6 linked regions of the Sus scrofa genome follow. The protein of the gene in region 6 purifies or fractionates together with the protein of the main gene of each other region. This does not show direct contact. Links are inferred from orthologs where the notes say so. Each region holds a gene or a part of one and is shown on either strand. Other genes may lie near its edges.

Region 1 (5,391 bases), on a different chromosome or scaffold from region 6:
CTCTGTCGATTTGGGGTTCTTAATAGTAACTAGCATGTTTCGTTATACAAGTACCAGGTGTTTTAACTTAATGGCATTGTTTAATTTCATATTCTAAGGTTGTGTTGCTAGTATCTAGAAGCTCCCACCGTCGACCACCACCTCTCTGTTCCACGGTCCGGTCCTCAGCCCCTCCACCCACGGGCCCTCCTGCTTTGCCCAATTTCTTTACTCCTCAGGCTCCCACCCACACACCCACTCCTCCACCCCCTCCCTTCTCCTCAGGCCTCCAGCCCTGCCCCCTCCCTGTCCTCCAGTCCCGCTCCCTTCCCTGCTCCAAGGTCCTCCAAGCCCTCCGTCCCATCTAGGTCTGGACCCTGGCGCAGTTCAAAGCCCCGCCCGCTTTCCTCACTCCTCCTGCCCCGCCCACCTCTCAGGTCCTCCGACCCCTTACCTTCGCTCTAGTCCCACAGGTCCTCAGTCTCGCCAGTTCTACAGCAACGGCTATTTTTTAAAACCCTTCCAGCGCCACTCTTTCCTCTAGCCCAGTCCTCCTCTGCCCGCCCCCTTCCCCTTTCCTTCAGCCCCTCCCCCGTACCCAACCTCCATCCCACCTCCCTCACTACTTCGGCCCTACTGTGTGGCAAGATCCTTATTAGGTATTCTACATACATAATCTCATTTCATCTTTACAGCAGCCTTGTTAGTACACCCTTGTTATTCTCATTTTAAAATATGACCTAGGTAATGCTCCTTTCCTACCCTAAATGTGCCTGTTACAGCATTTATTATATTATCTTACCGATTGTTCGGGTCCCTTTAGTTGTCTACAAACTAGGGGTTTAAATAACATGACCCCGTGACTTGCACATAGCCATTTTTAATAAATGTCCATCGCTATTATTATATGTTTGTCCCCACTAAGTAAGGGAGCTGACATATCCTTTATTCAGAAAGGGCCTGGCTTATGGTAGGCTTCGTACGAGTGGATGAAGCACCGCTTCCCCGTGAAGCACTCGAGTGCAAGCAAACGTAGGAGCAAACATGGTGGTTAGATGTCAGAAAACAGATGGAAAAATAATTACTTGGGCCTGTATAACGCAGTTACTTTCAAACGGTTGCAGCAGTGGATGATGTTGGGGAAGTCCTTGGGCCTAGGAGCATTGGAAGAGTTCTTAGGATTTTGCATGTACACTGAAGTTTTGAAAACGTTTGAGCAGGGGTGGTGAGAGGCTGATCAAAGGTGGCTTTTGGTAAATTTTGATGCAATGGACAGGGTATTTATTAGAATCAGGCCACCGCTCCCTGTGGAAGCAAGCATAAAGCAAGTCCCCTTCAAGGGTCAGGAAGCTCGCTAGGATGGTGGGACCAGAAGGACACCCAAGCCCAGTGGCGACGTCTAGGTTCCGGATTTGCTTGTATTCCAAAAGGGATCGTGTCGCCTCGCGAAGGCTATTCTGGAGAGCGCTGCCTGTTCTAGGATAGCAGTGGGATATGTCCCGGCTTGGTACGGGATCATCGGGGTCCTCCAGCCCGCCCACCCCCAAAACCGCCGGAACCCCTTTTCCCAGGACTCGGTATTGGTCCTTGCTGCAGATCCAGGTTCGCCTCAGCTGCCCTTCCGCGCCTGTCACTCACCTGTACGCAGCCAATCAGCATCCAATGGTCGGGAGTTTCATCCGAAGGGAGAGGGGCGGCTGCTTCCTGTGCGCCAATGAATGCGCAGACTCACACGCGAGGGGCGGGCCTGCGGGTGTGAGCGGGCCAATCACAGTCCCCCGGCGGCTGGCAGCCCGAGAGGCAGTTTGTCGCGCGCTCGCTTCCCCAAGATGGCGGACGCTAAGGACGGTTGTGGTTTGGGAGAAGTGGCTGCAGGGAACGGGCGGCGGCTCCACCTAGGGATTCCTGAGGCCGTTTTTGTGGTAAGAGGCACGCCGGTCCTCGGTATCTTGTCTCTGTGTGGTGGGCGACCGTTTCCTTTCTGGCCCCGACCCCGGCCTCGATCGTTGGGGGACGGAGTTGAGCGGGAGGACCTGAGAGAGTGCTCCGTCCTCTCCCACCTCCGCGCCGGCACGCCCTGTGCTGTGTTGGGACCCGCCCTCGGGCAACGCGGTCCGAGGAGGCCCCAGCAGATAAGGTGGCGTGGGGCCCGGAGGACTCGGGAGCGGGGGCGGGGCGGCCCCATCAGCCCCTCCTCCCCGCCCCACGCGGGATTTCCTCCCGTGCCGCCTGGAGAAAGGGAGGCGGCGAGGAGCTGGAGACTCAGCGTAGATGCTGGAGGGAGCGGTGTACACATGGTGACAGGATGCAGTGAGTAGGCAGAAGAGCTGGGGCTAAGGTGTGGAAGTAGGAAAATGGCACCTGGTCTGTTGCCTTGGGGGAGCCGAGTGGCGGGGAAGTGGGGTCGGTGAGAACGTGAGGCCCTTGTGTGTCCTGCTGAGGCACGGAGGCTTTAGCCAGTGGGCAGCGGGTGTCTAAAGAAGGCCACTGTACAGCCTGTTTGCTTGTAGGTACGTCGTCCTAATAACTTAGTAGAGAATAAATCGGGTGGAGTTCAGAGGCGAAGCAGGGAATGCAATTTTGGAGGCTTCGCAGAATGGGGAGACCAACCCGAGTCCAAACAAAGAGAAGCAAGTAGACGCTTCCACTCCTGCGCTTCCGTAAAATTCTCGAAATAGTATTTGAAAGCTCTTTCAATAATGAGAAAAGACCTGACTGCCCTTCCAGACCAATATAACCCGTCTCTGTCCACTCACTTCTGGCTGAACAACTATGAAATCTCTGTGGAAGTTTCTCGACCTTTTGGTTTGTGCCTCTGTTGCCTTATCTCCTCCACCTTTTTGTTAATCATATCTTAGAGTCTTCAAAAGACCCGTTTATTTTATTTATTCTTTTATTTAGGCCACTCTTAAGGTACACTATGCATATTTGCATGTGCCGATTCAGTTTTCTACTGTTTTCTTTATTTTGTCTTTTCTCCCTGAGCTGTGCCGTTTTATTTCTTTACCCTCATTTCCCACCTAGTTGTTAACTAGAGATACAATTTCTTAAATACCAGCCACTTTCCTCATGCTGTTACAAAACCCTAGGCGGCAGGTACTGTTATTCTCATTTTGTAGATGATGAAACTGAGGCACAGAACCCTGGAGTAACTTGCCCCAAGTCACGCAGGGTGCCAGAGAGTTATCCAGGGTTTGAACTTGGGCCCTCTGTAGGACTCTAGAGCCTCTCCTTACTGTCAAGCTCTGCCACCAGGAGGAACATGAGGTAGTTGTCTTGCTCACTGTCATTTCCCCTGATCCTGGCACAGTACCTGACACATAGTGTAAGCTTATAACCAGATGCTGAATTTCTGTAGTGCCTTAAAGTACTACAGTGATGGTGCTCAGCGAGACATGGGCTCAGCACTCTAGTTCACAAGGATAAACTTTATCTGAGGGCTTTATACGTTTTTCCTTAAAATGTTATGGGTTATTTTTTCTAGATCTTAAAATTTCTACCAAATGATAAAACCAATCCAAATTTTATGTAAATATTTTTATTTTCTCAAAGTAGTTAGAATAGCACAGCACAGTATAAAGAACATTGGTTTCTAAATAGACCAGAGTTTGAATCCTGCCTCTACTTCCCACTTGCTGCTCAGCCTCGAACGTATTATTTTACAACTTTGAGCCTCTGTTTCTTTAACTGAAATAGGCGGTAACAATACTTAGAGAGTTTCCACGAGAAACAGAATGTGCTTTCAGTATTGCAAGTAGATGCTTAATATATATTAGTTTCTGTGATGATAGGACGCAGTACCCTAGTTTGGTTTGTATCTCTATTGCCTTATCTCCAAGGCAGACCATCACTCCAAGACAGACTTCTTGGCACTTTCTTCTGTTCCCTTCACACGTTGTGCTGTAGACATAGCTAATGTTTGTTGAACACTTACTAGTAGCTGTTGTATGTCCTTCTGGGTATTTTACACATGCTAACTCACTTGATCCCCTGTGAGGTGGTTACCTCTTTTTCATTTTGCAGATGAGGAAATTGAGACAAAGCAAAAGGTTTAATAACTTCCCCGAGGTCAGTACATCTAGTATGTGATGAAGCCAGCATTCAAAACAGGCAGCCCCTGTCTTCTAACCATAAACCTGTGCTGCTGTAGTTAATTCTTCTTGCTGCAGTCTAACCTCCTAATAACATGTGCTAGAAACTTCGACCTCACTCAGTCTCTTTCTTCCTACAGTGGTCCTTCTAGGAAGATGCTATCTCCATTTTACATGCACGACTCAGCCATCGCTTCAGCCTCACCTTTTCAATTTCTTTTACTGTGTCTAGCTTGATGGCTTCATAATTCACTCCCTTGCTGTGTTTCTCTTCCTTTTTCTTCTTGTCTTGTTTTGGCTAAAATATTCCCTTATTGCTAGTAAGCATGGATAAGAATAATGATTTAGAGATCCCATAAACTGTAAGATTTTTGAATTTAACTTACTTACAGTGAAGGACTAAGGTTCTTTAAACCATTGGAAGCCTCTTATAAAGTCTCCTTAAAGTTTCCATGTAGTTTCACCTATTCCTGATCCTGATCTAATTAACAAGCTTTTCTTCAAGGACCCAGCATGTGTAGAATACATTAAAGAAAAAAAAAATGCCGTTCGGTTTTATTGCTTTTCTTTTGCTTAATTATTCCTGTAACAGAAGATCCTTCTGTTTGCCCTTTAGGTTTACTTTATTTCAACCACTTCATACTTAAGGAGGCATTTGTGGCTTGTCTTGGGAACCCAATGACCATATTTAGCATGACTTCTATGGCAGCACTTGTTTAGTTAAAAATTTAAGTAATAAAATTGGTAATTTTGGGAGTTCCTGTCATGGCTCAGTGGTTAATGAATCCGACTGGGAACCAACCATGAGGTTTCGGGTTTGATCCCTGGCCTTGCTCGGTGAGTTAAGGGTCCCGCGTGGCTGTGGCTGTGGTGTAGGCTGGCGGCTACAGCTCCGATTGGACCCCTAGCCTGGGAACCTCCATATGCCATGGATGTGGCCCAAGAAATGGCAAAAAGACAAAAAAAAAAAAAATTGGTAACTTTGGCATACAACCTGTCGAGTCATTTTTGTGGCTGCGAGTGCTGCATGGAGGATGCATAAAGCAGACAAGGTCATCTTTCTTTCCTTGTATATAAATAAAAAGAGGAAGGTGGAAGAGGAATAACTTATATACACAGTGTATGTGCGCTCTCTGAAATGGCCTCTAGCTTTTTATAACTGCTTCTTTCTTAGTTAAAAAGCAAGCTTTTGGAGAAAGAGAAACACAGGCTCTTTTTCTGTCTTAAAAATAAACTTAGGAAGTTCCCGTCGTGGCGCAGCAGAAATGAATCTGACTAGGAACCATGAGGTTGCAGGTACGATTCCAGGCTTCGCTCAGTG
Region 2 (4,669 bases), on a different chromosome or scaffold from region 6:
CCAGTCTGCTAGTCTAGCAGCCTGCTCATGCAGCCTTCTGGCAGAGGAGCGTAATGATGCTGTCTTTCTCCCGTCGTTACCTGATCGTGTGCACTGGGTTGTGTGGGAGGGAGCACAGCGTTTGCTGGAGGAAGTCGCTCTTTAATGAACCGCACAATGGAGGCTGAGTAATTAGAGCAGTTCAGAACCTTGAAACTGGCCTTTTGTCAGTGATTTGCACATTAGTAAGGCATTGCTATGGGGATGTTTACAGCAAGACTGTTGTTCTGCAGAAGACACGGAGGGCATAAGTCACAAAAGAGAGGTCCAGAAAGAAAACTGCAGAGAAAAGAAAATCCCTATTAAGATAATTAGCTCGTAGAGGATATTTTACTGGACAGCCATTCCTCATGTGAAGCTACAGCCTCCTCCTTTTGCTGCCTTTGCCCTAAAAAAAACAGTTTATTTTATCGTTGTTTAGGTCAGGTTTCTTCCTTTGGAAACCTTTCAGACATAGGGTAAACATTTGTATATTTTTATTTATGTACATTTATTTATGCCTATATGTGTACATAGCATTGGAACATCTTAAAGGATGGAGAAATATTTAATAACAGAGAATATTGATGGGCTTTCTGGATTATGAATCAGCACATATGGAAATTTTGAATAGATTAGCTTGGACTGAAGTCACAAGATAATGCACGGGACAGAAGAGTCAGTGAGAAGGTCCCCCGGTTAAATCCTTTTCTCCAATTTAATTAAAGCATGGAATCAATGCAGACACATTAAAAACATAGTTGTTAAACTATAATGCATTAAAGGGTCTTTAGGTGATCTTTTAGGAAAAGGCATCCACCGCATTCCTATTATTTCTATTGATGAACTCTGTTCTCTGCAGTGCTCGTTAGGGCCTCTGCAAGTCCCCTCAGGGGGACCCAAGCAAGGGACCATCATGGCTCATCCTTTTTCCATTCTCTTCTCCTCTAGAGGCTCATATCTACATAGCCACCCATCACCACATTCAGATTCTCAGCCTTAGTGCTTTTCTTTTCTAAAATAATAAGGCTTTATTTTACTGAGTGCAAAAAATGATCTCTGCTCTTTGTAAAATATTCATAGTTACAGAAATATGAAGAAAAATATAAAGAAAAATACAAATGTTCACATTAATTCCTACTACCCACCAACGACCACTCTTAACGTTTTAGTGACTCACTTGGGGACCTGTCTGTGTGCCAGTAGCTCTGGACCCTCTTTTGTTTTAAATCCCAAACTCTTTTTTTTTTTTTTTTTTTTTTTGTCTTTTTGCCCTTTCTAGGGCCCCTTCCCACGGCATATGGAGGTTCCCAGGCTAGGGGTCTAATGGGAGCTGTAGCCCCCTGCCTACGCCAGAGCCACAGCAACGTCGGATCCAAGCCACATCTGTGACCTACACCACAGCTCACGGCAACACCAGATCCTTAACCCACTGAGCAAGGCTGGGGATCGAACCCGCAACCTCATGGTTCCTAGTCGGAATCGTTAACCACTGCACCACGACGGGAACTCCTAAATCCCGAACTCTTTTGAGATTCTGATACTTGCAGAAAAATAAAAATATATAATCACACAAAATCTTGTTATATGTGATTTTGAGACCTTCATATATGTACTGAAACCCGTCCGAGGGCCCCCTTGTGCTCGTGCGGTTTAGCAGCCTGGTTTTTCTCCTTCACAGTGTGCCCCGAACACCATTACGTTTCAATCATATGGGTCTGCATCATCGCGTTTAATGTTTGCTCCGTATTCTTCTGTATACGTGTCCTGTAATCACAGCCCCAAGTGCTTACTGGACATGTGAGTCGTCTCCTATTTTATGCTGTCATAAATGGTGAGGCTGTGAACATTCTTGTGCACATATTTTGCCACTGTTAGGATTACGCAATGAAATAACAGGCACATCTATGTTTTATACCTGACTGTCTCACTGCCCTCCAGAAAGGCCTTTACCATTCTTTAAGGACCCTCCCTCCAGTTCCCAGTCAGCACTGACTTTTCGGATCCCTGGCTACTGTTTTGTACTCACCCCCACCGCCCCACCTAGTAACTGGGAGGACCTAGTTTTCAACCTATTAAGTCCCAAGATTTATACTGGGAACCTATTGTCCCAGATGCCCGACGTATAGGGTGAAGTCCTCTTTTTGGTCTGAAACCTGAGAGAATAATTCACTTTCTCCCCAGGAGCCCTTTTTTAGTTGTAGCCATTGATAAGACCTAGGTTCCATTCACTGGCTCTTCCTGAAGGAAGAGGAAAGAAAATCCTAATTGGAAGAGCAGGCACATTGAAGAGGAGCATATGCTGTTGCAAGGGTTAAATGGGACTCTGTGTACGCACGCACACAGGTTCTTTAGTTCTGCACAAGGTCAGCGCATCATAAGTACCGCTGCTTCTAGTACTAATAGAAATAACCGAGCTTGGAGTTCCCGTCGTGGCGCAGCGGAAATGAATCTGACTAGGAACCATGAGGTTGCGGGTTGGATCCCTGGCCTTGCTCAGTAGGTCAAGGATCCAGCATTGCCATGAGCTGTGGTGTAAGGTCACAGATGTGGCTCGGATCTGGCATTGCTGTGGCTGTGGCGTAGGCCAGCAGCTGTAGCCCCAATTAGACCCCTATACTGGGAACCTCCACATGCCACGGGTGTGGCCCTAAAAAGCAAAAAAATAAAATAAATAAAAAATAAATAAAAATAGAGATAAGCGAGCTTGAAGAGCACTGGAAAAATAAGTTGCATTTGATTGGGCGTCACTTTCTATATGAAAGTCTTATCTTTCCCATCACACTTCAAGTATTTCAGTGATAGAAATTAATTTGAGTATCTTGCCTAGAATAGTATAGTGTCATAGATGCTTTTCAAACAAGATCTGGCGTGTTCAGGGTACTGTGGCTATAGACCATAGATGCTTTTCCAATACATGGAGATGAATCAGTTTAAAGCACTTTCAACAATGAAAAAGTCTAAATATGAGTAACTTTTAGATGGTTCAGATTTCTGGGCTTCATTTAGAATAAGTAGACAGACAGCTATTTTGCATTTGAAGGAGAAAGGTCTAGAAATAAGAAAGTAACTGATTAAAATTCTGTGCTTTTAAAACTGGGGAAGCCATGTTTGTTTTGTTTTCTTTTGCTTCCTCGGATGCTGCTGTTTATTTTGGGGGCACATACGTACATATTTGATAGTATGACCGAACACTGAGGAATGGAAAGCTAATGAACTTGAAGGAACAGTAGTAGATTTTTATAGAGCACATCCTCACTTCCTGCATGCCGGCCTCCGATTCTGAGTTGCTGTCCCTCTAACACAACTGACTTGGGTTTCAGGTGCCATTACTGCAAGTCGTCGTGCCACGTGTCCTCCCTCCGCATCCCGTACGCCTGCAAGCTGCTCTTCCAGGAGCTGCAGTCGATGAACATTATCCCCAGGTTAAAACTGTCCAAATACAATGAGTAAGGATGGAGGAGACGGTTATTGAAAGAGAACGGTCGATACGCCCAGTGCAGTGGGAAGCAAAAGGGGTGAGGACCGATTCTGCTCCTATGCATCATTCCTTCCACTGCTCGCGCTCTCAAACAAACAAACAAAAGCACCCAAGGAAATTGATGGAGAGGCTTTTCACACCGTGGAAGACCGGCCGAACAGCCTCGAGCTACGAGCCTCGGGCCAAGGGAGAGGGACCAACCATACTGACTGTTGTGAAGTCTCTCGTCCATATATTGGAGGTGATTCACAAGTGGCTGGGACTGCAAAGATAAATAAACTTTTATTTATGGTCTGGTATCTTGAAATGTTCTCGTTCAAAAGACCTTCCCCCTCTAAAAGGATATTTGGGGTTAAATAAAACTCAAGATTCTGATGAAAGGACGTGAAGAATCTGTTTGAGTTGGTTGATTCAGCCTTTGTCCCAGAGGCTGATCTGAGCAGTATTTGAAGGAAGGACAACTTCAGGAAGCTGGCAGAGGGGCTGATAAGCAGGGCTTTCTTATCCAGTACATGAGGGGATAAATTTTCCCAACAACTGGATCTTGCCTTTTAACACCCAGCTTTTTAAATCTAATCTTGGCAAAGATAATAAATGTCTTCCTCCCATCTTAAGCAAATTTACTAAGGATGTCGCCTTTTCATAAGGACTAATTGCTGCTCTTCTGAACCTCTGTGGTCACACTGTGCAGGAATATTTGCTGACTATCTGAAAATAATAATCCATGGAGCTTTGAGTGACTGTGAGGCTAGGAGATAGGGGTCAGGAGGACATCGGATCTCACTGTTCTCCCAGCCCTTCAACCCTCCCCCAAAGCCCCTCGGTAAAATGGATTGATACCCCACCAAAAAAAAAAAAAATCCATGGATGCTTTATATGTTTTCCATCCCTTCTTTCCCTGCCAGGATGTTAGCTGCCCATTTTGTTTTGAATCTGCCAGCCCTCTTCATCCATTTCTAAGTTGGTCTGAATTGCTCTGCTCTAAAGCCTGATGAATATTTGTGTTAGGGATTGTTTATGAGGCAGAAAAGCTTTGAGTGGTGTGGTCGAAGGCTGCCTTCCCGGCATGTTACAGTGAACATGTCCCACAGAATATTAATAGGTATCATACACTGACAAGAAGCAAGGTACAGTGTCAAATCAGGCTGAGAAACCGGGTATATACAAGTT
Region 3 (4,669 bases), about 35 Mb from region 6:
CTGCGGCTCAACTGGACCCCTAGCCTGAGAATTACCATATGCCTCAGGTGTGGCTGTGAAAAGGAAAAAAAAAAAAAATAGGGAGTTTCCATCATGGCTCAGTGGTTAACAAATCCGACTAGGAGCCATGAGGTTTCGGGTTCGATCCCTGGTCTCGCTCAGTGGGTTAAGGGATCCGGTGTTGCCTTGAGTTGTGGTGTAGGTAGCAGATGTGGCTCAGATCTGGCATTGCTGTGGCTCTGGCTTAGGCTGGCAGCTGTAGCTCCGATTAGGCTCCTAGCCTGGGAACCTCCATATGCCGCAGGTGCAGCCCTAGAAAAGACAAAGAAAAAAAAAAAAAAGAAAAAAGTTGAAGTTATATCTTATTTTATTTGGTTTATTTTTGAGTAATACTTTTTTGGTCTTTTTAGGGCTGCACCTGTGGCATATGGTGGTTCCCAGGCTAGGGGTCGAATCAGAGCTGTAGCTGCTGGCCTATGCCATAGTCAAGCAATGCCAGATGCAAGCTGCATCTGTGACCTACACAACAACTCACAACGTCACCAGATCCTTTAACCCACTGAGCCAGGCCAGGGATTGAACCCATATCCTCATGGGTACTGGTCAGGTTCATTACCACCGAGCCACAATGGGATCTCCTGAGTAATGCTTTTTTTGAAATAAAATACACTATCAGTATTTTCCTTTGTTATAGCAATCACTATAGATTACTTTTTCCTCCTGCCTCAGAATTATTTCATGAATTTTATAATCTACAAAGATGCATAGCAGAAATTTGGGGGGGGTTTGTGAGTTTTTTTAAATAATAGCTAACTAACATTTTTTGAGTATTTACTGTGTGTTGAGAAGCACTTTTCTGAGTGCTTTTCCTTTATTTTCTCCTCTGTTTCTAACATCACACCTGTGAGATAGGTACTGTTCTGATCCCTGTGTTTTCAGATGAGACTGACGAGGCTTAGAGAGCTGATAAATTTTTCCAGTCATCTGATGGGAAATGTCCATATCATTTCACTGCAGGGGAAGTTCATCACACCTGCTCACTACAGTGACGTCGTGGACGAGCGTGCTATTATCAAACTCTGCGGCTATCCCTTATGTCAGAAGAAGCTAGGAATTGTAAGTAACTACTTTTTTTTTTTAAGATGTAGACTATTAATTTTTATATTTAGCAAAAAAAATTGTGTAGAAAGAGTAATAAATGAAACTGAGGTCATGAACGAATGACATGGGTTAGCCTAAGATATGCTCCATAGATGACTTAATCTTGGTAACTATGAAGTTCATGTTTATTACTTGAATTTTTTTGTAAGCTGTATTTTCTTTTCTTTAGGTACCAAAACAGAAATACAAAATTTCTACCAGAACCAATAAAGTCTATGATATTACTGAAAGAAAGGTAAGTTTAAAGGCATTTTCAATGTGGCAGTGGATATATAATATTACACTAAATGGGATTCTAAAAATAGGCCTTTAAATTTTCGCCTTGTAGAAAATAGCCATATTAAGAGTTTTTCATTTGTAAATAATTTCATTCAAAATGTTAAAAAAAAAAAAAAAGAAGAAAACTCTTTGCTTACACTTTAGTTGATATACAGACCTTTAAAAATTAAAGGTGCATATTGGCACAAATTCAGGCAAGTGAATCATAGAACAGAACAGAGGGCCAGAAACAGAGGCACTCCTTACATGGACACTGGGTATATGACATCAGGAGTATTTTAGATCAGTGGAGAGAGGATGAATTTTTAATTTTTTTATTTTTGGGGGTGAAGGAGAAAAAGGTAGCTTTATTGCTTTACCAGGTGAAGGGGGCCACAGCAGGCTAATGTAATGCCTTAAAGACTGTGCCCAAGGATGGATTTTTAAATACATAGTAGTGGCACAATTATCCATTCCAAAAAAGTGAAAACTCTATCTCTGTGTATATAACAAGCTCACTTTTAGGTAGATTAAGAACCCAAATGTAAAAGACAAACCTTCTCAAAGACATTATGGGAGAATATCTTTATCAACTTCAACTAGAGAGAATTTCTTAAATAAATAGAAAATTATAGACCATAGACTAGAAACAATTGAAAATGTTTGCTTATTAGAAGTTTCTAAAAAAGAGTGAAAAGGTAAGCTACAAATCAGGAGTTATACTTCTCACATATAACTGCCCACAGATTCATAACTAGAACACATCATCTATAAAAAAAGGTAAAAAACTTGATTAAAAAATTTTTATGGAAGGAATCTGAATGGTTCATGAATATATGAAGGATGCTCCAGCCTCATCAGTAGTTAGGAAAACAGCAAATAAAAACACACTGAGTTACATTTTTGCAGCCCCTAAAGTAGCAAAATTTTAGAAATCTGACGATATTAGTAACTCTTTATACTCTGGTCCAATAAGAATTGGTACAATCTTTTTGAGAAGCAGCTTGGCAGAGTCAAATAGGTGGTCAAGTTTACACGGTCTTTGTGGCCATTCTCCTCTTCTTCTGTGTCCACCCTTGTCCGTGTGCACTAACCTATACGTACATAGTGGGGAGGGTGTGAGTGTTCCTCGTAGGGTGAGCAAAATATGTACACACATAGCACGGACTGTTACATGGTCTTAAAAGGGAAGGAAATTTGGGCACAAGCTGCAACTGAATGATCTGAAAACATTATGCTAAGTAAGAGAAGGCAGCACAAAAGACAAAATACTATACGATTCTACTTATATGAGGTAATGTGTAGTCAAATTTGTAGAGACAGACAGTAGACTTGTGTTTGTCAGTCGGGGAGGTGAAAATGGGGAGTTATTGTTTAATATGTATAGAGTTTCACTCTTGCAAGATGAAGAGAGTTCTGGAGATGGATGATGGTGACAGTTGCACAACAGTAAGAAAGCACTTAATGCCTCTGAATTGTACAGGTAAAAATGCTTCGATGATAAATTTTGTGTATTATACCACGGTTTTTAATTTAAAAAATTATAATTAAAAAAAGGTTCATAGTAACATTGTAATGATAACTAAAAGTTAAAACTCAGCCTTAACAGTAACTAAAGGGGAGTTCCCTTCGTGGCGCAGTGGTTAACGAATCCGACTAGGAACCATGAGGTTGACGGTTCGGTCCCTGCTCTTGCTCAGTGGGTTGACGATCCGGCGTTGCCGTGAGCTGTGGTGTAGGTCGCAGACACGGCTCGGATCCCATGTTGCTGTGGCTCTGGTGTAGGCCGGTGGGTACAGCTCCGATTGGACCCCTAGCCTGGGAACCTCCATATGCCGCGGGAGCGGCCCAAGAAATAGCAAAAAAAAAAAAAAAAAAAAAACAGTAACTAAAGGGTGGAATACTTAGGCATTGACATATAATACACTGTATAAATGAATAAACTATACCTACACAAATGAATCTCAAAAACATAACATGGAAGAGAGGACTCTAGGAATATGTAACTATATGGTTCCATGTAGACAAAGTTTAAAGGTAAGCAGAACTGAATGATGTATTTTATAGGAAATGTATGTGGGTAGCAAAACTGAAGGAAAGCAAAGGAGTAACGCAGAACCCGTGATGATAGTGGTTGCCTCTGGGGAACTCGGAGAGAGATGCCATCAGGGAGGGACACGTAGAAGCCTGCAAGGTTCTCTACTTTCCTTCTTACCCTGGCTGGGAGATTCAGTGGATTTCGTTTTTTTTTCTCTGAACTACATATTTATATTTTATATTCTCTTGTGCATGTAAGGTGTGTTTCACAATAAGAAAAATAATTTGCTGGTTTTTAAATGTTCTTTTCAGTGTTTTTGCAGCAATTTTTGTTATAAAGCATCTAAGCTTTTCCAAGCACAAATTCCTAAAACTCCAGTGTGGGTTCGAGAAGAAGAAAGGTAATTTAAATCATTCCATATACGTTTATTCATGTATTCTAATAATTTCTTTCTGCCTTTTGAGATATGTAGAGAACAGGTCTGATTTTCTTTGGGATGCATTTACTGTATACATTTTAGTTGTGGGGAAATGGTTGTATCTCAAGCAGAACTATTAAGGATTTTACACTTAAAATCAGAAAATTAACTTACAGAAATGTTAGTTGTTTGCTATTTTAGCTTTAAGCACAAAATCTGAACTTTGCTTTCTGCTGTGGTGGCTATTTCTATTAATCCTATTAATGTAATAATCCTGGGGTAAGAATTTTAAATTTTTCCAGAAGATACTGGATTTTGGGAAGCAGCCTAACTCACTGTGTTGTCAGGAAACTATATAGTAAGGTTAAAAAGTTCAGGTTACTAATTCACTTAGTCTTTACTAAAAATTACTGTAATATTTTATAAATTTAAAGAAAGCCAATTTAAAGAGTCATTTTTAGCAGAAAAGTTTATAGACGTTCTTGGGATTTTACCTCTTGAGAAAAGTTTAAATATAACATTTGGAGTTCCCGTCGTGGGTCAGCAGTTAGCGAACCCAACCAGCGTCCATGAGGGCACGGGTTCGATCCCTGGCCTCACTCAGTGGGCCAAGGATCCAGCGTTGCCATGAGCTATGCAGCCCAGATCCTGTGTTTCTGTGGCTGTGGTGTAGGCCAGCAGCTACAACTCTGATCGAGACCCCTAGCCTGGAAACCTCCATGTGCCACTGGTGCAGCCCTAAAAAGACAAATAAAAAATTATAATAAAAAAAAATAGCATTTTAGTAGTTGCTG
Region 4 (5,149 bases), on a different chromosome or scaffold from region 6:
GCCTGGGAACCTCCATATGCCATGGGTGCGGCCCTAAAAAGATAAAAAAGACCAAAAAAAAAGAGTTAGCATGTCCTAGATGCAAGGCACTGTGAAGAGAAGTATCCCTGAGGCTGGCACATGAACACTGGCGAGCTTACATCCAGGAGAGGAGGCGGCAAAAAGCCAGGTTGTTTGGTAGATGGTGATAATGCGATGGGGGTGGATGGAAGTTCCTGAGAGCTGGGGAAGGTCGAAGGCGGCTTCCCTGAGAAATCAGACCGTGGCTCCCCTCGTGGCCAAGGACTAGACCTGAGAAAGCAGAACTCTGGAGATGGCCCTGGACCACCTCCACTCCCGAACAGAAAATGTCAGGAGCTGTTGGGAGGTCATGCGTTGTAAGGATAAAGCGCTCCAGGCCGCTAACAATTTTCATCGCCTGCAAAGGGCTACCACCCCCGTGATGTTTCACTCTCAGCCACTGGCGCGCCTCTGCTTTCTTCTGAGATGAGGCAGAGGAAAAGGCCCGTGTGCTAACCCACCGGGCACTGTCCACGACCCCAGGCACCTTTGCAAGATGTTTACGTGCGTCCTACTGAGAAAAGGAGGAAACACTCGTGTGTTTTGGCCGCCACCGACCCCTCTATAAGCTCTTTCACCATCTTGGTGCAACCTCCCCCCGCCGGCTCTCTGTCATTCTGGTCACGCTTTGATTTGATGCACACGGGGCCTCTGTAAGAGGTACTCCCTTTCTAGAATGTCTCACCGCCTTTCCGACCTTCTCTTGCTCTCACGAGATCACACCTTCTCAGGAAAGCCTTCCCTGCTCCCCAAGCAGACCTTACTCCACCCTCTCGCTCGTGCCCTTCTTGCATTGCTCTTCGCTGGACCTGCAACTTGTAGTTCTCTGTGGGACTACTGAGTAACAGCTGCCTCTCCCCAACAGCACAGGTTCTCCAATGCTATGAGAAGATCAGAACTTCATTCCTGCTCACCATTCTCAGCTCCATCACCTAAAACGGAGACAGGGAGTTCCCACTGTGGCTCAGTGGGTTAAGAACCTGACTTGGTTTCCGTGAGGATGTGGGTTTGATCCCTGGCCTCACTTGGTGGATTAAGGATCCGGCACAGACGCAAGCTGCAGTGTAGGCTGCAGATACAGCTCGGATCTGGCATGGCTGTGGCTGTGGCGCTGGCCAGCAGCTACACCTCTGATTTGACCCTAGCCTGGGTGCTTCCATATACCATGGGTGCAGCCGAAAGAAAGGAAGGAAGGAAGAAAGAAAAGACAGAAAGAAAGAAAGAGAAAACTGAGACTGTGTCACAGCACATACTCAAAAAGTTTGTTGAATGACTGAAAAAATGTGGGTGATCAAAAAGTTTGCCATCAGGCCCAGGGTTCAAATCATTCCTCTACCACTTCCTCAAGGTTTACTTCATCTCTCTGGACTTCAGTGTCTACATCTGTCAATTGAGGGTGAACCACAACTAGTATCTTGCACAGACTTAAAGGCTAACAGAGGGGCCAAGTTAAATACAGAATCCAAGCCAAGTGAATCTCACAAGGTCTCACACTGGTTTGAAGCACCTTGGCCCTAAACCCTATCTGGCACTCAATTAAGACTCTGTGGTGGACAGACCAGCAGGGTCAACAACTCATGACTTGGTTTGCCTGGGGCTTCCCCAGTTTTTGCACGCCCCCCCCCCCATCTCAGACAAACTGGGATGGACTGGTCACCCTACACCGAGATCAGGCGGCTTAGATTACGAGGTGCTGTGAAGCACAAAAGCCATGGAAGCACGTTCCCACGTGGTCTTACAGAGGAACGAAAGGAAACACACCCAAAACCTACAAAGTAAATCCCTTCAGCCAGGGGCCTCCCAGCAGACACTAGGGAAGCTGAAAACACAGGCTCTGGAGGCAGAACGCCCATGTTTATTTACTCAAATCCTAACTTGCCTCTTGAACTTCCTCACCTGTAACATAAGGATTAAAAACAGCATCGCCCTAAGAGGAGCGTGAGACTAGAATAAATAATGCACTGCAATGTGCTTAGTGCCCTGCACAGAAACACCAGATGCTATTTCCGGACTCTCTCCATTCCATTTTCCTTTTCTCTAGACAGCTCTAAGCATCTGGGTGGACTGACCTGTGTTCAGGAGTTCTGCTTGCTTAGTAGAATAAAAGGTGGGCTTTGGGAAAAACACAATCGAACCTGAATTTGCACCCCAGCTCTGCTTATTAGCTGAGTCACACTGAAGTCACTAACTGCTCTGTGTCTTAAGTTTCTCCAGCTGTAAGATGGGAAGAAAACGTGCCCTTGCTAAATTGCTGGAAGGATCAGAAATAGTCAACCGATGGCTTCTGGGCCGCCGGCCGCTCTTCCATACACTTGTTTTAGTCTGGAGGCGCAGGAGCATCGAGCGTGGAGGTCGGTGGCTCAGGCGCCCTGGGCCAGTGATCCCGGGGATGCGGGGTCCTGCCCTGCTTCTTACGGCTGTGTGACCTTGGGCAGGTGACTCCACCTCTCTGGGCCTCAGCATCGTTGCTTCCAAAGGAGGGTACCAGTAGCACCCATCCTTGGGAACTTGTGAGGGTTAAACGCGATAACCCAGGTACAGCGCCCAGCGTTACGGCCAACCGCAGTCCATCGGACCCTTCGGCTTCCCACACCGCGAGGACAAGGCCTGGGGGGCGGGAGCCCCAGACTCTCCAGGGCCATCCTCAGCACCGCCAGAGGCGGCCCGGAGTCCTCCAAGGGTCCGATCCCGGGCCACCTCGGCCCGGGACCCAAAAGCACCCCTGGGCGCCGGGCGCGGGCAGGCCTCGCCCGGGAGCCGCCCTGAGGGTCGGGAGCCTCGGCCCCGGGCCCCACGCCGTGCTTCAGAGCTGCGCACCCCCAGCACTCCGGGGCCAGCACCCCGCGGCCGAGCCCCGCCGGCCGGCCGAGCATCCCGCACCCCGAGCGCCCCACTCACCGCCTTCTTCATGGTGGCCGCCATCTTGGGACTGGACTACGGCGCGAGGCGGGGAGGGTCCGTCAAGGTGCGCCTCGGCCCCGCGCCCTCCCTCGCTCCCCGTCGGCCCAGGGCTCCCGCCAAATACAACGCGTTCTCTACATTCCTCCGACTGGGTCTCAGATCAGTGATTCCTAAGGTCTGGGACTTGGGGAGGACATGTAACCTGGAAATACTTGGTACATGCCAATTAAAGGGAAGGGCGACTCCCTGTGGGCCGACAGAAACTGGGGGGGTGTGGCGAGCGGCCGCAGCTCCAGCAGCCGGCAGCAGGGGGCGCCGAGCAAGGCGCGGCAGCGAGTGGAAAAAAGGGAAGTTCCTTTCCTTCAACTCCACAAGCCTTACAAGAAATCCACCTCCCTAAAAAAGCTAAGAACGAATGACCTTGCTAAAGACATATCCTTGCTCAGATAATTCAGATGGTACAAAGAAGGAAGTACTCCTAGTAGTTATTTAACAGCATTATTCAGCAATTACTGTGTATTCTAACGTGTGCTACCCAATTCTTAATTGTTGTTTTTTTTTTTTTCCTCAGGATCCCTCTACACTCTTAAAAATTTTTGAGGATCCCGCAAAGAACCCCTTTCCTATATTCATCGATATTTATCATGTTAGAAATTAAAACAGAATTTCAATGCCTTTATTAGTTTAAAATAATAAAAATCCTTTCCACATTAGTGTAAGGGACATTTTTAAATGACCATATTTTCCAAGGGGGCTGGGAATTGAGAAGGGCATAGTTTTACATTTTTGCAAATCTCTCTAATGTTTGGCCTAATGGAAGCTTAGATGCTCACAACTTCTGCATCCAATCTCTTGCAATATGTCGTTTAATTGACATAGATGAAGAAAATCTGATCTCGCAGATATGTAGTTAGAGAAGGGAGGCCCTCAGAGTCCGTGAAGAAATCTCCAGGACCGTAGGGGTTTGAGAATTGTTCTAGACAAGTCTCCTTTCTCAAAGTCCCAATTCTGTCTTTGGGATGTGGGGCTAACAGGGCCATATAGCACCCTCTGCCCTCCCTACCAAAGCACTTAGCCCCACGCGGCGGTGCTGCCTGTTCTGTCAGGGTGCCAGCTCCAGACTCCAAGCCCTTTGCATGAGGCCTTCCCTGTGCCCAGCTCCCAGGAGCTCAATATGTATTTGTTGAATGAAGACCTTTTTTCAGGATTAAATCTTTTCACAGGATCTGGTCCATATTGGGAGCTCCATCAATGACCCTCATTCATTTAAAAGCTCACAAACTAGCAAAATTTAAAGGCCCTGCAGAGGGAGTGAAGGGGAAACAGAACAAATAAGTGAAAATCATTATGAATGGTGCCAAGTGCATGAAGGGGGAAATAAATGAGGTGCTGAGACAGAGAGGCGCAGAAGTTGGTGGCCCGGAGGGGCTCTTTGGAAATGCTGGCTGGGGAGGGGGAAGGAGAGGAAAGGAGGGGTCTCTGAAGCCAGAAGAGGGGGCCTGGGCTGGACCAGCAGCTCGAAAAGGCTGTCTTCCTAAGTTCAGGCTTCTATACTCCTATGGTCAGGGGAGGACGGTCTGCCTAGTTCACAGCCTTCTTCCTGGGTCCTCATGTGGAGGAGAGGTCAGGGAGCTCTCTGGTGTCCTCCCCCCCTTTCCTTTTGCTCTCGATTTGCCGAAGTTCCGGCCAGGCATCCAACCCACGCCACAGCTGCAACCAGAGCCACAACGGTGACAATGCTGGATCCTTAACCTGCTGAGCCACCAGGGAACTCCTCTGGTGTCTCTTTTATAAAAGCACTAATCTCTTTCTTGAAAGCTCCGCCTTCCTGACTAGGCACCTCCCACACACCCCACTTCCTAGTACAGCCCAGGGGATTGTAGGATTCCAAGGTCTGAATTTGGGGGCCAGAGTGGGACACAAACTTGCAGACCACAGCAGATGTTATGGCTCCAGGCTGAATCTTCTGTCAGTCCTCGGCTTTCCCGTGGTCCTTACAAGACAGCTATTACTTCCTCAGGCATCACCTTGTCATCCTCGAGGTGCAAAGGCAGAGAGAGGAGGGGCCCCTTTTCTCTTACCTCCCCACTTCCGCATCACAACTCATTGTCTCCATCTCTCTCTCTCTCTCTCTTGCTTTCTCCCTCTCTCAAGGACCACATTTCCCAGAACCTCCCAATCCCCTGGC
Region 5 (5,448 bases), on a different chromosome or scaffold from region 6:
GTAACATGCTGTATGATTCCATGTCTATAAAGTTCTAGAATATGCAAACAAATCTAAAGAGACTTAAGAAGATCAGTAATTGCCAGAGAGATTGGGGGGGGGGAGACTAAGGGGGAAGCAGAAGGAGCATTAGATAACTTTTGTGGCGATAGATTTATTATCACAATTATGAAGATGGTTTCCTAGATGGGAACTTATCAAATTATACACTTTAATATATTCAGTTTATTATATGCCATTATACCTGAATAAAGATTTTTTTTTTAACAGAGAGTTTCCTGGTGGTCTAGCAGTTAGGATTTAGTGGTTTCATTGATGCAGGGTTTAATCCCTGGTCTGGGAAGTGAGATCCCGCATAAAGCAGCTGCCTGATAACTGTGTGACAAGTAATGTAAACAAAAACAAAAACAATAAAGGAAGAGTTTGCTGGACCTTGAAAGGCAAACACAACAATGCTAACTGCTACTTAATTACAACTATTTATCCAGTATCTACTTGTGCATTGTGTGAAACTTGGAACTTTTCACCTTGATCTTATTCTTTGCCCACATAACACTGTTAGGGTAATATTATTATTCTCTCTCTGTCTCTGTCTCTCTCTCTCTCTTTTTCTTTTTCTTTTCCCCCCAGGGCTGCACCTGCAGCATATGGAAGTTTCCAGGCTGAGAGTTGAGCTGGAGCTGGAGCCGTTGGCCTATGCCACAGCCACAGCAATGCAGGATCTGAGCCTCATCTTTGACCTACACCACAGGTCACAGGCAACACCGGATCCTTAACCCCTTGAACAAAGCCAGGGGTTGAGCCCTAATCCTCATGGATGTGAGTTGGGTACATTGGCACTGAATCATGATGGGAACTCAATAATATTGTTATTTCCATATTAAATAAGGAGACAAACTCTATTGCTACACAGTAAGTAGAACCAGACATATCTAGGCACAAGGTAGACCAAACCTTAGCTACCTTGGAATCTGTCTGGTTCTAAATTACCTGCCCTTTCCTCTCTCTTACAGGTTTTTAGACTAGGCAAAACATCCATTTCTTTCATTTCTAAAAGTCCAATTACCAGCCATCCCTCTGGTTCAAATGCCAGATATTTTACATAAGATTCTCAAAATGTGGTTTGCAGACCACTTGGGGCATTTGCAAAGGTGCAAATTTCTGGGCCCTGATCTCAAAGATTCTAAGTAATTAAGTTTGGGATAAGGACCAGAGAATCTCTGTGTGCGTGTTTAAAATATACATATTTTATTTTATTCATTAATTTTTTTGTCTTTTTGCCTTTTCTAGGGCTGCTCCCTTGGCATATGGAGGTTCCCAGGCTAGGGGTCTAATCGGAGCTGTAGCCACCGGCCTACGCCAGAGCCACAGCAACGCGGGATCCGAGCCACGTCTGCGACCTACATCACAGCTCACGGCAACGACGGATCCTTAACCCATTGAGCAAGGCCAGGGGTCGAACCCGCAACCTCATGGTTCCTAGTCGGATTCGTTTCTGCTGCGCCACGACGGGAACTCCAAAATATATATATTTGAAACAAACTAATTTGGTTTGTGAGAACCACTGTGTCAAGAAGGTCTTCCATGAGTGTTCAGTATAACTAAGTTCTTTGGAGGAACAGTTCGGCTAAGCCTTCCGGTTTTCTCTATATTGGCATGTATGAGGCGTGGGCTGAATTTTCGTTTTTTGTTTTTGTCTTTTTAGGGCCGCAACATATGGAGGTTCCCAGGCTAGGGGTTGAATCAGAGCTGTAGCTGTCGGCCTGCATCAGAGCCACAGCAGCCATCCCAGTCGTGTCTGTGATCTCCACCACAGCTCAGGCAACACCGGATCCTTAACCCTCTGAGCCAGGCCAGGGATCGAACCTGCAACCTCATAGTTCCTAGTCCGATTCGTTTCCTCTGCACCAGGATGCAAACTCCTGGGATTCTTTGTCCTCCCTGACAGCACAGGGACCCTGACTGAAGAGGTTTTGGCCTCATCTACATACATCTCAATTTAGCAGCACAAACTAAGGTATTTGTCAAAAATACTTAAAACCATGCACGAAATCTGCGCGTGGTGCGGTGTCTGGAAGGATGTGGAGAAACAGGCCAAGCCTATAGGTCACGAGAAACATGTGCTTTTAATCGGAATCTAGGGTTCTCTGGGTGGAGGGGGGATTCCTAGCGCTGGAGAGCGGAGGAAACCAAGCAGCTCGGCTCCTGCGCAGGCGTAGAAGGAAAGGGGACGATCCGCCAAGGCGCGCCCTTCCCCCACCCTTCTTTCCGGCCTTCTCCCAGCGCGCAGGCGCAGAGAGGGAATCAAGATGGCGGCTCCCGTGGATCTGGAGTTGAAGAAGGTAAAAGAGGGTTTTGAGCAGGCAGGCTTCTCTTTGGAAGCTAACGGGACCGTAGACAAGAATATCGAGTGAGACCCAAGTCCCGCGGAGGGAAGAAGGTCCCAGGGCATTGGGGAATGCTTTCCCAGAGTCCTTCAGGCGGGACTGGGTCGCCTTAGGCTGGAGTCGGGGCGAGCAGCTCTTTGCTGGAAGAGAGCTGGTAGGGCTGGGGCTGGTTAAGTCTGGCGGGCCGATAGCTGTTTTGAGTCCCTTGTTCCGGGCTCCAGAGCCCTTTCCTTGTTCTTGGAGCCTTCAGTCCTATTGTAAGGCCTGAAGTGAGCGTTTCAAGTTGGAGCCCCTTGAGACAGCTTGCCCGAGCTGAGGCATCCGTAATTCTGCATCCTAATTTGCTTTGACAAACTCCAGGTCCAACCTGTGTTTTTAGGCCACTTCTTCAATCCCGTACCTCTAAGGTCGCGACATACTCTTAAATCAGATATTCTCAGCACTGTTTGGCTCCCTCCCTAGCCCCTCCACCCCTCCCCTTTTAAAGGGTTTGTCAAAAAAGAAGCAAAGTCTAGTGAAAGTTTTCTAAATGGAATCGGTATCAGAAGGAATTGGGTTTCTCCCTTCCCATAGTTGCCTGTAAATGTGTTGTTACTCAGAGACGTTTTTGCCACTTAAAGAATTGTCAGGATTGTGACACCGCTACCAACTCAAAAGCATATCTTTTTTTTTTTTTTTTTTTGAGAGGGGGATGGGTTGGGGATTGGAAAGGATCTTAGACTTCATCTGCTCTAAACTTTTACTTTTCTAGAAATAAAAACAGTTACAGAAAAGACTCAGGCCATGGTTAGGATCAGAATCCAATATTTTCTGCCTTCCCGCCTTTTGGCCATTAGTTTAGGTACTTCAGAAGGGCATCTTGTACTAAAACCATTCCGGTCAACCTTTGTGTCAGACATAGGGCAGGTGAAATAGCTTTTGCACCCAATAAGCAAAGCTGTTTACTATTGCTCTGAGGATTTGTGTATGTCCTTTTTGCCATTTTTGTTTCGAAACTTGTATCTTTAGTCTTTACGTGGTCTCTAATGCTGTCCCATCTTAGCTTTAACAATATACTAGGTTCCTTAGCAAACTGTGTCGTAAAGCATCCTAAAAGCCCCCCTCCTTTTTTTTTTTTTCTGTTCAAATTAAGTCAGGGTTTAGTGAAAGAGCCAACAATAGAGTACAGCTGTGAATGGGTTTACCTCAGTATTATTTGAATTTGTTGCTAGGAAACCTGTGGGCAATGAATGCAAACTAAGAAAATGTTACGGACTTAAATTGATTGCAGACAAATTGATTACAGACTTAAACGATTATAGACTTAAATGAGTACAGACTTGAATTGGGTAGCTTTGACAACCAGTGAAATTAACTCAAAAAAACTTGTTTAAGGATATTCTAATGTCTTTATAATGTCTTTTTTTTTGGTCATTTTTGGCCACCCCACAGCATATGGAGCTCCTAGGCGAGGGATCAGATTGGAGTTACAGCTGCGACCTCAGCTGCAGCTGCAGCAATGCTGGATCCCTAATCCACTGTGCCGGTGGGGTTTGAACCCTCATCCCAGTGGCTCCCAAGACTCCACTGGTCCCGTTGCGCCACAGTGGGAGCTCGGGTCTTTTTTTTTTTTTTTGAGTGGAGACAAGTAGGACATTTTAGGCACCTCCTCTAACTCTAAACAAAATTTTGAAACCTTACTAGTAGGTGAGAACAAAGCCAGAGTAGAAGTTAAATAGCAGCTTTTGCCATGCATTGCAGCCACAAAAATTATTATTCAAGTATTAAGGCATAAATTTGACAGGATGTGAAAGTCATTCTAGGCTCTTCAACAAGAGTACCTAGGAGCTTTTTGAGTTAAGGGTACCCAAGGGTCAGATTTGGCTTGGTGTGTGCCTCTGTCATGATATAATTCTTCTTCCAGTGTTTCAAATATTTTCTTTTTTGTCCTTCTCTTAAAATATGCATTTTCTGAATATTACTATAGACAGCAGAACGGAAAGGTTTTTGAACTAGAAGTCAAGAAATGGACTTAAGAGCTCACTTTTAGACCTCTTAGTTGTTCAACCATGTGCAAGTCATTTATATCTCTTTCAAACATTTAGTTACTTAATTTATAAGCTGTGGTGATGAAACTGCTTGCCCTAACTCAGGATTGTTGAGAAGAGTAAATGAGGTATTTATTATTACATCTATTAGTGTTCTCATATTAATATTTACATATTAATAGTTCAAAAAATGTGGGAAAGTGCTTTGAAAACTAGTTGTAAAATATAAATGTAGTGAGTAGTTACATTTATGGTTCTTGTTTTGGATCTCTGGGTTTCATCCGCTGACTGTTGCATTTAGTGCCTATATTACTCCTTGGGTACCTGCTACTTGATATGTTTATTATTTACCATGTCTTTGTTCTGCTGCTTCAAATAGACAGCATCTTTTGAGGACTGGGTAAATTCAAAACAGTTGACCCTTGAACAACACAGGTTTAAACTGCGGGGATCCAATTGTACATAGATTTTTAAAGGTATTACTACAGTACCACACACTGTGTGATTGGTTGAAATCCAGATGTAGAACCAAGGATACAGAGGAACTGCTATATGGAGGGTCAGCTGTAAATTACACTGGGATTTTTTTTTTTTTTTGGCCATGCCTAAGGCATGTGGAAATTTCTAGCCCAGGGACTAAATGTGCTCCACAGCTATAACCAGAATCACAGCAGTGACAACTCCAGATCCTTAACCTCCTAGCCAGGAGGAAACTCCTGTACTCAGCATTTTGACAACATGGAGAGTCAGTGCCCCTAAGCCTTGAGTTGTTCAAGAGTCAAGAATATTTAGCATAGTGGCTTGATCATTTATAATTATATGAACGTTTATTGATGTTTGCGCAGGTAACAAACATCAAATTTTATAACTTTGTCTCAGCAGGCTTTATTTTAATATGTTTAAATTTGACTTAAATATTTTCTGTAAAATGTTTCACTTACTAAATCAAGGACTTTTTTTTTTTTTTTTAAGGCCTTCACAGAGCTTCAAGCTAAAGTTATTGACACTCAACAGAAGGTGAAGCTTGCAGACAT
Region 6 (3,833 bases):
TTTGATCCCTGGCTTTGCTCAGTGGGTTAAGGATCTGTTGTTGCCATGAGCTGTGGTGTAGGTCTCAGATGCGGCTCGGATCTGACATTGCTGTGGCTGTGGTGTAGGCATGTGGCTATAGACTCCTAGCCTGGGAACCTCCATAATGCCGCAGGTGGGGCCCTAAAAAGACACAAGACTAAATAAATAAATAGAAGAACTAGGGCAGCTTTGGGGATTTCAGAAATAGGAATGGAGGATCATCTCTATAAGACAACTTATAGGTATCAGGTGTCTTAGCCCCAGCTGTCTTCTGTACCTGTTTGTCCCTAACCAAAATTCAGTTCCTGTAGAGAGACTCCAGTATAGAATAGGTCACTTCTCCTGTGGTCAGGGAGCAAGGATCCTGAATTAAGGAGGGGCAGGCAGTTCCCCAGTGACAGGGATGCTGGGCAGACCCAAAGAAGAATTAACTCATTACAAAGCCTTTTCTTTTTGGGGGTTCCCCGCCCAAGGTATGTGGAGTTTCTGGTCATAGCAGCAGTCCAAGCTGCAGTGACAAGTGCTGGATCTTTAACCTGCTGTGCTACTCTTTTTTTTTTTTAATTAAACGAAGCCTTTTTTAATTTTATGGGCTGTACCTGTGGCATATGGCTTTCTTTTTTTTGCCGCTCCAAGGCACATGGAGTTCCTGGGCCAGGGATCAAATCCAAGCCCCAGTTTCACCTACCTGAAGCTCTGTAGCTATGGCAATGCTTAATCCTCTGACCCACTGTGCAGGGCCAGGGATTGAACCTGTGTCCTGGTGCTGCAAAGATGCTGCAGATCCCATTGTGCCACAGTGGGAACTCCATACAATCCTTTTCTGACAGCTGTCTTTACCTGCAAGTCTTGGCTTATCTGTAGGTTCTCCAGTATCTCTTCAATCCATTTTGATATAGCAAATGCCTGTTTCTCACCAAACTGTAAACTGCAAGATGGCATAGCAAATATCTCACCCGAGTAGGCTTGTAGTGTTGGGTGAATGGAATTCCAGACAGATTTAAGTTAAAAATTGCAAACTGTGTTCTACTCGTTTGACAAGGTAGGTGCTTAGTACATGTTTTTTGTAAAGCTTGCCATCACATGTTACATACTGACCTAGTGCCCTTTCCACTGTCCCCTTTCTCGCCTTTATCTCTTTCTCACCTTTTTAGGTAATTGCTGGCTTCAACCGCCTTCGGCAGGAACAGCGGGGCCTGGCATCCAAAGCAGCTGAGCTGGAGATGGAATTGAATGAGCACAGGTGAGGAAGCTGGGAGAAGCAAACAACAGGAGAGTTGGATGGGCCATTTTGTAAGAGAGGGTTGTGGCAGAGTGAGACTGAATCCTCAGATCTTGCCTTGTCCTCCTATCTCAGCCTAGTGATCGATACTCTGAAGGAGGTAGATGAAACCCGAAAATGCTACCGCATGGTTGGAGGGGTGCTGGTAGAGCGGACTGTCAAAGAAGTGCTGCCTGCCTTGGAGAACAACAAGGAGCAGGTGAGCAAGAATCCCTGAATAGACACCCTGGGCAACAAAAGGGTAAGGAAGGGGATGCCAGGGATTTAGGGAACATGGGGGAGGAAAGTCTGGGTAGGAACTCATAATGAAGAGAGTATAAATAGGCTATTACAGTTTGGGGGGTGGAGGGATGCTCTGGGGGTGTGGGATGGAAATCCTATAAAACTGGATTGTGATGATCATTGTACAACTATAAATGTAATAAATTCATTGAGTAATAATAATAAAAAAAGAAAAAACAATAGGCTATTAGCCTGTGCTCATTATGCTATGCCAAGTCTTAACTCCTTAGACAAAGGAGTTGCTGAGTAGGGGGAGGGGAGGTGGTCAGAGTGGTGTTTCTCACAGTTTAGTCCATGGATTCCTGCATCCAAATCACCTACAGGACTAATGTAAAATGCAGCTTCCGAGTTTGGGGTTTCTGTTGTGGTTCAGTAGGTTAAGAACCCAGTTAGTATCTGTGAGGATGCGGGTTTGATCCCTGGCCTTGCTCAGGGGATTAAGGACCGGTGTTGCTGCAAGCTGTGGCATAGGTGGCAGATGTGGCTTGGATCTGGCGTTGCTGTGGCTGTGGTATAGGCCGGCAGCTGCAGCTCGCAACTCTGGTTTGACCCCTAGCCTGGCAACTTCCATATGCTGTGGGTGAGGCCATGGGGGGGGAAAAATAGCAGCCCAGGTGATTCTTACGTACATTAAAGTTTATAAACTGTTGTTTTTAAGAAAGGAATACTTTTAGTGTCTGGGCTCTACTAGTAATACTTGGTTAAAGGTGAGATTAGAGGTGTCACCTCTCCTTCACTTCCCCCAACCATAGTCCATAACAGAAGAGGGAATGGAGTCCTGAAATCCTTATATAATCCCTGTTGTTTGCCCTCTAGATACAGAAGATCATCGAGACACTGACACAGCAGCTTCAGGCAAAGGGAAAAGAACTAAATGAATTCCGGGAAAAGCACAACATTCGTCTCATGGGGGAAGATGAGAAGCCAACATCCAAGGAAAACTCAGAAGGGGCTGGAGCTAAGGCCAGCTCAGCTGGAGTGTTGGTCTCCTAGGGACCAAGGCCTTTGCAGTTTTTCTACCCCGATTCCCACTTCTTCTAATTTCTCTTTATTATTATTATTATTTTCTCTGCTATTGTAATATTTTTTTGTTAATTAAATGTTTTGGTCAGAATGCTTACCTCTCACCTGAAGCTTTCTCCCAATATTAGGGGCAGAATTTGCATGGGACAGACAAGCATATGACTTGTGGTTTTGGTTCTAGCAGGTTAATGGCTCACAGTATCAGATTAGTTCCCATATTTTATCCTTTCCCTTGCAAATAAAATGCATCTCCTTATTTACTGCCCTCCTCCCAAAAAAGATTCAGAGACAAATGTTGACTCTCAGGTTGAAATTTAATAAGCATTTTGAATGAGGCAGATAGCTCTGGTGATAATGCTTTATGAGTTTGCAACAAAACAGAGGGTTGGCAGTGTGTCTTGGTACTATTCTTTAGACAAAAAGGTCCAGAATGCAAACCTGTGCACTAGCTGTCTGGCCATCCTCACCAAAACCCCCAACCAGGTAGAGCTGATCATTCCAAAGGCAGGTCCGATGGCCCACGCGTTTTAGCCCATGGTCTGCACAGGGGAAGTGGAACCATAGAGAAGGAGACGTGCCTGTTGGATAAGGGCAGAGGGTAGTTATTAAGGCAGTAGCGCTTTAGCCCTCATGGGGCTTTTGACAAGACCAAAGCCTTGGTTATTTTTCTCCTTACTTGATTTGTAAGCCTCTTTAAAATTTGATATTCTGGGAGTTCCCTTGTGGCTCAGTGGTTAACAAATCCGACTAGGAACCATGAGGTTGAGGGTTCGATCCCTAGCCTTGCTCAGTGGGTTAAGGATCCAGCATTGCCGTGAGCTGTGGTGTAGGTGGCAGACGCAGCTCAGATCCTGTGTTGCTGTGGCTCTGACGTAGGCTGGCAGCTCCTACTCCGATGAGACCCCTAGCCTGGGAACCTCCATATGCCGCGAGTGTAGCCCTAGAAAAGACCAAAAAAAAAAAAAAAAATTTAATATTCTGTGTGTGCCTTTAACTTGTCGACTAATTCTTCCTCCTTCCTACCCCGTCACTCTTTCCTCTTTCTTTTTGTAGCCTTCAGGTTCTCCTGTCTTCCCACCTTTCCCCCTTCTCAACCATTAAGCTAGCTCTCACGGGTATCATAGATGTAGAGGTCATTGCAGATGGTGTCTCTGGCTCTGGTCAGAGTTTCTCCACCAAACAGCACAGCAAAGGGCCCAACCACAGAACATGAGTGATGCCGTAG

What was found.
Region 1: the proteins of PFDN2 (region 6) and VBP1 fractionate together in Homo sapiens (co-fractionation; 8 studies listed by BioGRID and IntAct, counting the BioPlex papers as one, with this or other methods). This does not show direct contact. The link is inferred for Sus scrofa from reciprocal best matches to the Homo sapiens genes PFDN2 and VBP1.
Region 2: the proteins of PFDN2 (region 6) and POLR3B purify together in Homo sapiens (affinity purification with mass spectrometry; 3 studies listed by BioGRID and IntAct, with this or other methods). This does not show direct contact. The link is inferred for Sus scrofa from reciprocal best matches to the Homo sapiens genes PFDN2 and POLR3B.
Region 3: the proteins of PFDN2 (region 6) and RPAP2 purify together in Homo sapiens (co-immunoprecipitation; 3 studies listed by BioGRID and IntAct, with this or other methods). This does not show direct contact. The link is inferred for Sus scrofa from reciprocal best matches to the Homo sapiens genes PFDN2 and RPAP2.
Region 4: the proteins of PFDN2 (region 6) and PFDN4 purify together in Homo sapiens (affinity purification with mass spectrometry; 6 studies listed by BioGRID and IntAct, counting the BioPlex papers as one, with this or other methods). This does not show direct contact. The link is inferred for Sus scrofa from reciprocal best matches to the Homo sapiens genes PFDN2 and PFDN4.
Region 5: the proteins of PFDN2 (region 6) and PFDN1 purify together in Homo sapiens (affinity purification with mass spectrometry; 5 studies listed by BioGRID and IntAct, counting the BioPlex papers as one, with this or other methods). This does not show direct contact. The link is inferred for Sus scrofa from reciprocal best matches to the Homo sapiens genes PFDN2 and PFDN1.

The regions. Positions count from the first base shown.
Region 1 is NC_010461.5:125,483,559-125,488,949, forward strand, and holds the start of VBP1 (prefoldin subunit 3), read left to right. Parts: upstream 1-1,798; 5' UTR 1,799-1,808; coding exon 1,809-1,901; intron 1,902-2,083; exon of another isoform or gene 2,084-2,289; intron 2,290-5,391. UniProt on the Homo sapiens protein: Binds specifically to cytosolic chaperonin (c-CPN) and transfers target proteins to it. Binds to nascent polypeptide chain and promotes folding in an environment in which there are many competing pathways for nonnative proteins.
Region 2 is NC_010447.5:13,804,376-13,809,044, reverse strand, and holds the end of POLR3B (DNA-directed RNA polymerase III subunit RPC2), read left to right. Parts: intron 1-3,341; coding exon 3,342-3,471; 3' UTR 3,472-3,888; downstream 3,889-4,669. UniProt on the Homo sapiens protein: Catalytic core component of RNA polymerase III (Pol III), a DNA-dependent RNA polymerase which synthesizes small non-coding RNAs using the four ribonucleoside triphosphates as substrates.
Region 3 is NC_010446.5:124,756,274-124,760,942, reverse strand, and holds part of RPAP2 (putative RNA polymerase II subunit B1 CTD phosphatase RPAP2), read left to right. Parts: intron 1-1,017; coding exon 1,018-1,116; intron 1,117-1,330; coding exon 1,331-1,396; intron 1,397-3,768; coding exon 3,769-3,857; intron 3,858-4,669.
Region 4 is NC_010459.5:55,153,819-55,158,967, reverse strand, and holds the start of PFDN4 (prefoldin subunit 4), read right to left. Parts: upstream 3,197-5,149; 5' UTR 2,983-3,196; coding exon 2,959-2,982; intron 1-2,958. UniProt on the Homo sapiens protein: Binds specifically to cytosolic chaperonin (c-CPN) and transfers target proteins to it. Binds to nascent polypeptide chain and promotes folding in an environment in which there are many competing pathways for nonnative proteins.
Region 5 is NC_010444.4:142,074,746-142,080,193, reverse strand, and holds the start of PFDN1 (prefoldin subunit 1), read left to right. Parts: upstream 1-2,193; 5' UTR 2,194-2,309; coding exon 2,310-2,342; intron 2,343-5,386; coding exon 5,387-5,448. UniProt on the Homo sapiens protein: Binds specifically to cytosolic chaperonin (c-CPN) and transfers target proteins to it. Binds to nascent polypeptide chain and promotes folding in an environment in which there are many competing pathways for nonnative proteins.
Region 6 is NC_010446.5:89,338,749-89,342,581, forward strand, and holds the end of PFDN2 (prefoldin subunit 2), read left to right. Parts: intron 1-1,175; coding exon 1,176-1,264; intron 1,265-1,378; coding exon 1,379-1,502; intron 1,503-2,401; coding exon 2,402-2,578; 3' UTR 2,579-2,860; downstream 2,861-3,833. Other genes in the region: KLHDC9 (kelch domain-containing protein 9), read right to left, coding at 3,020-3,186, 3,722-3,833. UniProt on the Homo sapiens protein: Binds specifically to cytosolic chaperonin (c-CPN) and transfers target proteins to it. Binds to nascent polypeptide chain and promotes folding in an environment in which there are many competing pathways for nonnative proteins.